Linked DNA regions of Xenopus tropicalis. The protein of the gene in region 1 interacts with the protein of each later gene in a biochemical or structural test. Links are inferred from orthologs where the notes say so. Each region holds a gene or a part of one and is shown on either strand. Other genes may lie near its edges.

Region 1 (3,821 bases):
ACACCTCTGGTTCCATGCTGCTTCTGGTAACACATTTCTCATCTTCGCTCGGATCCACAATAGTGCATGAGGGGATGACATGACTGTCAATGGTCTCTTCAACTGCTGACATGTTTTCTCCACTGTCTAAAGGCCCCAAGTGGCAACGATATACATTACCTTCAGAGAGTGGCACCAGTCCAACGTTATGAACATCAGTAGAATTGTCTTTTACTCCTAATGTCATGGGATCTTGCACTTGTAAGGCACTGTAGTCATTTAAACTTATTTCACTGCGGCAAGGTAATTCCTGAGAGTCATTGTTTAACAAAGACATGGTAGGTGAAGCATCTGGATGACCACTATTGACTATGTTTTCCACGGTTACCCGATCTACTGAAGTATAATGACCAAAACCAGGAAGAGTGTTCCCACCACACCTCTCATCTGGCAAATCTTTTGGGGTTTCACTTAAGGTTGCTGCTGGGTACAGTTGGTGCACGTCATAGAACTGATGTGCTCCACTGTCTCCTTTCTTAATATCGCAACAAATTTCAATTTGCTCCTCCTCAGAATCTGTGGCGGTTTGTAGTTCTGACATACAAGACTGGTTCTGAAGGGAGGAGATCATGTCGCTTGTAGAATCAAGAAACGACTCCGAGTCGGAATCCTCTGCCGTTACGTACATAGAGATGGGCAGGTCGAGCGAACTGCTTAAAATTTGGTCTGACAATGAGAAATCCTCCTCGGTCAAGCTGCTGAAATTGCGGGAATAACTACTTAGGCAGCTTTTGTCCACTGCAAATTTTTTTTCCATCGACAGGGAGTCCAAAACAGAAAATGCCAAAATGTTCTCCGACTGGCTTGTGCTTTCATCGAAATTTGTAATGCTGCTACACAGCTCTGTCTTGGCTTCTTCTGTTTCTGCATCGACACGGTTCCCTTGTCCCGAGGCCACACAAGCTTCCATTTCCTCTGTGGTGTTGGAATCTTTAGCAAAGTCACATGAAGGAGCTCCAGAAAAATCAAGCTCATTAATAAAATCATCAATATTAGTGACGGTGCTGTCATTTCCTGCTTCCAGGCACTGGATTGTCAGTGAATTCCCTGCTTCAATAGTCACTTTGGCTGGAGTCGAGCAATCTGCTGTGTGCTGGGGCCCTTTACACTGGCTGTTCTCCTGCCTGAGGATCTCCACTTGTTCCACAGGTCCTTGCTGGTCTCCTCCTGAGGCCATGATGATGTGTGACAGCCTATCAACAGCTGTGAGAAAAACATGTAATCCAGTATTAAAAAACAGCAACTGAACATTCAAATACATTAAACCTTTATGCCATGGATTCTTTCAATGAGGCCTTGTAGCAATCATAACAATGTTAAAGTAAAACTATACCTCTACAATCAATACTAACAGATAGTTTATCTTATTAAGTGGTCTATTGAATAATCTTACCAAATTTGAATATATATATCATTAAATATTGCTATTTTGAATATTTTCCCTTGAGCCGCCATTTAGTGATGGGCTGTGTGCTCCCTCAGAGATCAGCTGACTTTCTCCATGCCCGTTTAGCCCAACATCTGCCCTGCCCATCTCCCTGCCCCATACCCCTGCCTAGTCACCTATTTCCCCACCCAAACCCAAAGGCTGGTACAACCTTATTGTCAATATGTATCAGGTTGTACATTTTCTGCACTGTGTGCGAGTCTTCATGGGAAAGACACACAGTATACAAGTGTTACCTTGGTTTCACATCTGGCCAGTACTCTGTTGCTAAAGAAAAAGGCCATATCAATCATATTCTTCAGCCTCTTTAACGTCCTTCACATAGTCTTTCAGGATATCCATCACTATCCCCTGTAGCTACAGCCATAACCTGCACGCTTAGGTCTCCCCCAACTATCAGAGTGTATCACAGTGGAATTGCTGGTGCAGTATTCACCACTGTAAGTCTGGGGTGAGACACACTATCTGGCCTTATAGAGCCATTCTATCAGTCTGTCTGCTCAAGCCCTCTACCTGCTCACAAACTCTGGTCAAGAACAGCGGTTTTCGCTTTATACAAGCCTATTCATTGCCTTCACCGGACAGTTGAAATTCAATAAAATTCAATCCGAGTGCAGCTCACAAGTAAAAAACGGTTGGGGAACCCTAGCTAGCTTAGAGGAAAACTGCAACAGGGGAACCTAGATAGTAAGTATTGTAGGATCTGCTACAGCAGTCGAGAGCACTAATTCTAATTAAAGAAGCCTAGTTTGACTCAATGCTTTATTATCTGTGAATAAGAGAACAGTTATATAGACCATTTATGGATAATAAAAAGAGACATTGCTATGGCTTTCTTGCTTCATAAAACAAGGGTATTCCCAAGGTCTTCCATTCACCTACACAGTTTTGTCCAGGTCTAATATCCAACTGTCAGCAAGCATCTGATGGCTGTTGTGATTTATTAAGATGGGAGGTGCAGTATTATATATATAGGCCCCTTGTAGGGTGCGTTCAAGATACCCTCAAATGCAGAGCACCTTGAACTTATATATAAAGCACAGAAACCATCCGTGTGTATGAAGCCTTTAACCAGGATTTTCCCAGGGGCAGAATGAGGCAGTGAAACAGGCCCAGAGTCTGAAAGGAATGAGCCCGGCAGCATTGTACCATTACCTGACAGCGGCTTCCGCACTCCCAGTGTAACGGATGAAGGCAAGCACTGGATAAAATCACAAGTTTGCTGGTAGGACATCTCGCTCACTTGAATGCCATTAATCGATATAATCTCATCGCCAGCCGCTAACTTTCCCACAGAATCCTAACAAAATGACAGTTATAAATCAGTTCCATTGGCTGCAGCTCATGTCCCAGCCGGAGCAAAGGGCAGAACATGCACCATTCATACAGTTCCAGAGAAATAAGTATTTATAAAGGCAATCACAGTAAGAAATACAATATGCACATAGGGGACGAGGGGCTGTAATGGTGTCGTAGGATAAGCTGAGCTGCCGGCAGATACATTTAAGAGCTAAATTGTGGTTTTCTTAAGCAATATAACGAGCTTTTAATCCAAACATGATTGTAGGGCTGACTCCTTCGTAAAAAATGTTTCCCCCAATGTCAGTTAAAGGGGACGGTAACCTTTATATTGAGCTTTAATATAAAGAAATATGTAAGTACAAAGAGGGAGCTCAGTAGAAGTGATACCACTAATACCCTCTTGGGAGGTAAAGGGAAAGTTATGAGAACTTCACTGTTGTCTTCTATGTCCGGTTTCTGAATTATATGCCTTTCTAGTTTGCATCTTCCTTGTCAGAGAGCAGACTGATTATGGGATAGACTGTTACTGCAGCTTTTCTTTTTCTAAATTACCTCTCTTCCAATCCATACTTCATCCTGGCATTCAAACAAATGCCGCTGCTAGGGTGGTGTAAAAACAAAGGAACAGACTGTAGGGGAGAGGGGACCAAGGGTAGACAGAGCCCATTAAATACTTAAAATGCACCTTTATTAAGAAAGCATTCCCCCCTCCCCTCAACCACTTTCCATCCTGTGCGCACACCATTAGATGTTAAAGTACTTGGGGGGATGTTGTTTATCTTGGTTCATTATACAGCACAGACACCATCGCATACAAGGTCCGGTTTTAAAAGGGAATCTGTCAAGTAATAAGAATTGTTTGCTCACCATGGGAAACTGAATATGATATCCTCCTGCCCTGCTGAAAACCACATGTATCTATTGATTTAAGGAGTGGTATATATGTATTAATGAGTATAACTTGCCTTGGCTGGGTCAGAATGCAGAATGCCCATATAGTCACAATGACAGCACTTACCCCTGTTCTCTTTAC
Region 2 (4,486 bases), on another chromosome or scaffold:
AATATCGGATAATTATATCTATATATATAATTGGGTTATGTAATAAAAAGACACTACGTTTGCCCAGGTCTAGTAACCTAATGCAACAAGTCAGCAGAAAGAATTTACAGGATACCTGTTTACAGACATCTTATTGGTTGCTATGGATTACTGCACCACGGCAACCTTAGTGCCTTTTATTACATATGGAGCAAAGTGTCAAAGTATAATAAATGCCTCTTTGCAGATTTATATTAACAAAGAAACATGCATTTTTATTAAATTTAAAAAAATGGCAGAATTTTAGTTTCATCTTAAGCTCTATTTATTTTGCTTGGATATATATATTATCCCTTTAAATTGTAATCTGCCAAGTGACCCATGTTAGAATACAAGGCCAATAATCTGTCTACACAGTTAAAGGAAATGCAAATCTTTAAAAAGGGGGAAAAATGACTAACTGCTTGGATAACGTTACACCAAAAGGTTAACTTCCCCTTTATTTTCAAAAACATTACCATGAGACATATTCTGTTGTACAACTCAAGGCGCAGAGTTTGCCAACACTGGCTATTTTAAAGTAACATATGGCAATAATAGGTATAAAAACGATACAATGTGGTAGGATGCACTCCCAGGTGCCTGAACATGAGAATAACCGAGCAAGCTGAATGTGCATGAGTGCTGCCCAGGCCAGCACTGAATTTGTTGCCAAGCCGTCTCTGTGTACAAGAATGAATCAGCCGCTGATGTGATACTTGAGGAGAGGCAGTGGGAAACTGCACCCTCTGAGCTAGTTAACCCTTTACCTGCGAGAAGAGAAGGTCACCTTCAGCAGATGGATGGATAGTGGAAAAAGCTGAACAACAATGTGCATGAAGGCTGCTAGGAGGAAACCCTGCCTTTTTGCATACAATATCAGTGTGACCTGCTCCCCCACTTTGGGGCCAGATTGCTTTCCTGTGATAGCAATGATATGGTAAATAGAGCTGCAATAAACAGGGGTTAAAGGCAGTGCACACTGACCACAGTTGCAGCAGCTGGATTTCCCTATGCATTCCTGGCATTCCTAATCCAACGTACCCACCTGCCTAGTCATCTGCTGGGAACAGCACCAGGTCTATCCCTCTCGGCACTGCAAGGATGGCTACGCCGACACTCGAAGCTCTGTATGCAGAACCAGCAGCATGAGCATCCCTGCAGTTGCCCGTGTAAGTCAAACCGCATTTAGTACGGCACTTAGATCCCCCACATAATATTATACAGCAACAGCTAAAATACAATTATTTCTATAGTGATCCAAAGAGACCCATATCCTACAGAGACACAGAACCTTTCATTACTCTGAAAGAGTCTGCATAAATCCCCTCTTAATGTAGTACAAGCTCTATGGTACAGTCTTCATTTAAAGCCAGAAGTATAATAATCAAATAAAGGATGGGAAACCGACAGCCCTCCAATACACAGGGAATGCTGGAAGTGTTAGATCAACAAGTGAGGTCCCAAACATTGGGGCTCCTTGGCTGACCAAGATGGAAACAATATATCAGAATATTAGAAACCAACCCACAAATCCACCAAAGGTCAAAAGTAAAGTTGCAATGTGTGCCGAGTCTGCTCATGTCTAACCTCAGGGCTTGTTCACACTTGCGATTCTGCCATTGTTATTCTGTTGCAGTTTTATTACAGACTATTAGGTTGCTCACTGGCCAAATGCTTTAAGTCTCTTGCCCAAGGGCAAGTGAAGTGCTATAAAATATCACAAATTGTCACTATAGAGAAGGAACCCCTCGGCGTGTACTGCCTGTTGCACTAACTCTATTATGTGTCTCATAAAGAGAGAAGGCAAGTACACAAGGCACAAACCCACATACAGTACAGTTACAGCAAAATACAATGCCAAGCAATAGACACACTGTTGTTCCTCATGTACGCGGATGACTTGTCACTTTAAGAACCACATGAGCTTGCAATCATAGGCAACAGGAAGGATAGCAACATGACTGGTATCAGTTACTACATTCCCTCCAGCCCATACAATACAGACAGTATTAGTTGCAGAGGCAAAAGCAGGAAGCATTAAGTTGCATGTTCAGTAAGTAATTCAAAGGCTTTCAAAAGATTGCAAGCTCACTTGGCACCAACATATGACTCGGCATACAAGGCTAGGGCATGGGAGGGAAGTCTAGATGCCCATGTGGTGCATATAAGAGCATGACTGCCATCAGATAATGCCAGGGAGCTGGGTGTCCATGAACAAAAGAGAGTGCTAGGGAACTGCATCCTTTTCATTACAGTAATAGGGTGTAAGGTAGTGGGGGTGCAGGGTGCCCATTCCACAGGGGCAGTTTGGCATTGGCTGAAAATAAAATAGAAATGTAGAGATAGGAGGATGCTGGGTGCCAATGCAAAAGGCTGGATGGGAAAATCAAGCAATATGGGATGTTGGAAGTGTAGACTAGAACATATCAGGGATCATCCACCTATTAATGAACTACAACTCCCAGAATGCCCTGACAGCGCCCGGAAGAGCCACAGGTGGGAGATGCCGGAGTGCATGGCCAGGTGGGAAGTTGATGCAGAGCGGCTCTTTACTCCATTAGCAGGAATGCGTCTAAACTTGCCCCCACCCAACACCAAGCAGCTTGGGGTCCCGACTCCGGGACGTATCATGCGAGCACCGCCAGTGGTCCCGTAGCAAAACGCACTTACCTGCCGGCTCAAGCCTCCCCGAGGGTCCGTCCGCCTCATGAGGGACTGCACGGTCCCGTTCCCAAGGCGCAGTATAACTCCCAGACGTGCTGTCCCCTACCCGGTCTCCATGGCGCGGTGCCCGAACCCTGCCGCCCTCTCCCCAGCACACCGAGCCAGCGCCGGGCTCCGGGGCTTTCCGCGTCACAGCGCAATCTCGCTTCGATTGGCCGACCGAGGCCCCGCCCATCTTACCTATTGACCTGCCCCTGGGTTCCAAATTCACCAATCGCTCGCTGGCCTGCCGTTGCCTTGGTTACCGATGCTGTTGACTGAAAGGGGCGTGGAAGGTTTTGGTCAGTCACGATACTCTGCTCGGGATGTACCATTAATGCGGGAAAGGAGGGCTGGAATTATTATCGGCACAGAACGATCTGAAGGTGAGATGCTGGCAACATTGTGCTTTTACATTGTCACTTAATCCACATCCCCAACTCCCTCCGTCCTAGTAATAGTCTCCATTTATTAAACCGGCAGCTCTCTATTTCTTATGGAACTACAACTTCCAGCATCCTTTGCCCGGGGTGGCCCTTTCAGTTTCACTGGGTAAAATTCGGATTCTCAGCTAATTTTTGTTAGTATAAGAGAAAAAAATGTGTTTTTTATACAGTTTACTTTTATTTGTATAGATATTTCCCCTAATGAAATGGTTAAAAACATTTTGAGAATTTTCAGTCATTATCATCCTATGAAGACTTATTCTGACATAACAAAAATGTGAAAATTGAATTGTTTTGAATGCTGGAAACTCAGGACAGCTCTGATAAAGGGTTTTTATGGTTTCCGCCACCAAATAAGTTTTACTGCTTTAGGGCTCTGGTACACGGGGAGATTAGTCGCCCGCGACAAATCTCCCTTGTTGCGGGTGACTAATCTCCCTTGTTGCGGGTGACTAATCTCCCTTGTTGCGGGTGACTAATCTCCCTTGTTGCGGGTGACTAATCTCCCTTGTTGCGGGTGACTAATCTCCCTTGTTGCGGGTGACTAATCTCCCTTGTTGCGGGTGACTAATCTCCCTTGTTGCGGGTGACTAATCTCCCCGATATGACATCCCACCGGTGAAAAAGTAAATTGCCGGTGGGATGGCATACGCGGCGGTGCGATCTCCGAAGTTGCCTCTCGAGGCAACTTCAGCGATTTCCGCAAATCGCGCCGTCACCCATAATAGCGAAGAACTATCGTGAGCGACTAAACCGCTCTGTGGGTTCTTACCCTTAGGCTACTGCAGGAGATGCCTTTCCACCGACAACAAAAGGAGTCGCTGGTGTAAAGGCCGATGCATCGCTTCAGCTTTCCGAAGTCGCGCAGAGTTGCCTGAAGGAGGAAACTTCACGCAACTTCGTAATACCAAAGACACGCAAAGAGCTTTCGGAGTGTTTAGGCGCCCGCTATAGCAGAGATCTATCATAGGCGACTAAACCAAACTCATATTTTCATAAATAGGAAAAATATTCACATACAATTTGTATTTAAATTTGCACGGGAAAATAGCAGGAAATTTTCTAAGAGGAGACCATCCTGGGCCCCCCATGGGAGGTGCCCACAGGTGTAAAGGTGGCCATACACAGGCAGAATTAGGCTGCTGATTTGGCCCCTTTTGACCGAGGCAGCAGTTTACCTGCCATGTATGGGGCCAATATCTAAAATAGGGCAGGTTTAAAAATCTCATTGGGGTGGTCTGTATTGGCTCCTTGGTGTGGTCCTCATCCCAACAGCCTGCATTCCTGATCAGATCAGCTCAATATCACCCATCTTA

The links.
Region 2: the proteins of pdzd2 (region 1) and pkp4 form a complex in vitro, tested with the Homo sapiens proteins (2 studies listed by BioGRID and IntAct, with this or other methods). The link is inferred for Xenopus tropicalis from reciprocal best matches to the Homo sapiens genes PDZD2 and PKP4.

The regions. Positions count from the first base shown.
Region 1 is NC_030677.2:200,908,579-200,912,399, reverse strand, and holds part of pdzd2 (PDZ domain-containing protein 2), read right to left. Parts: intron 2,787-3,821; coding exon 2,642-2,786; intron 1,243-2,641; coding exon 1-1,242.
Region 2 is NC_030685.2:73,687,508-73,691,993, forward strand, and holds the start of pkp4 (plakophilin-4), read right to left. Parts: upstream 2,873-4,486; 5' UTR 2,692-2,872; intron 1-2,691. UniProt on the Homo sapiens protein: Plays a role as a regulator of Rho activity during cytokinesis. May play a role in junctional plaques.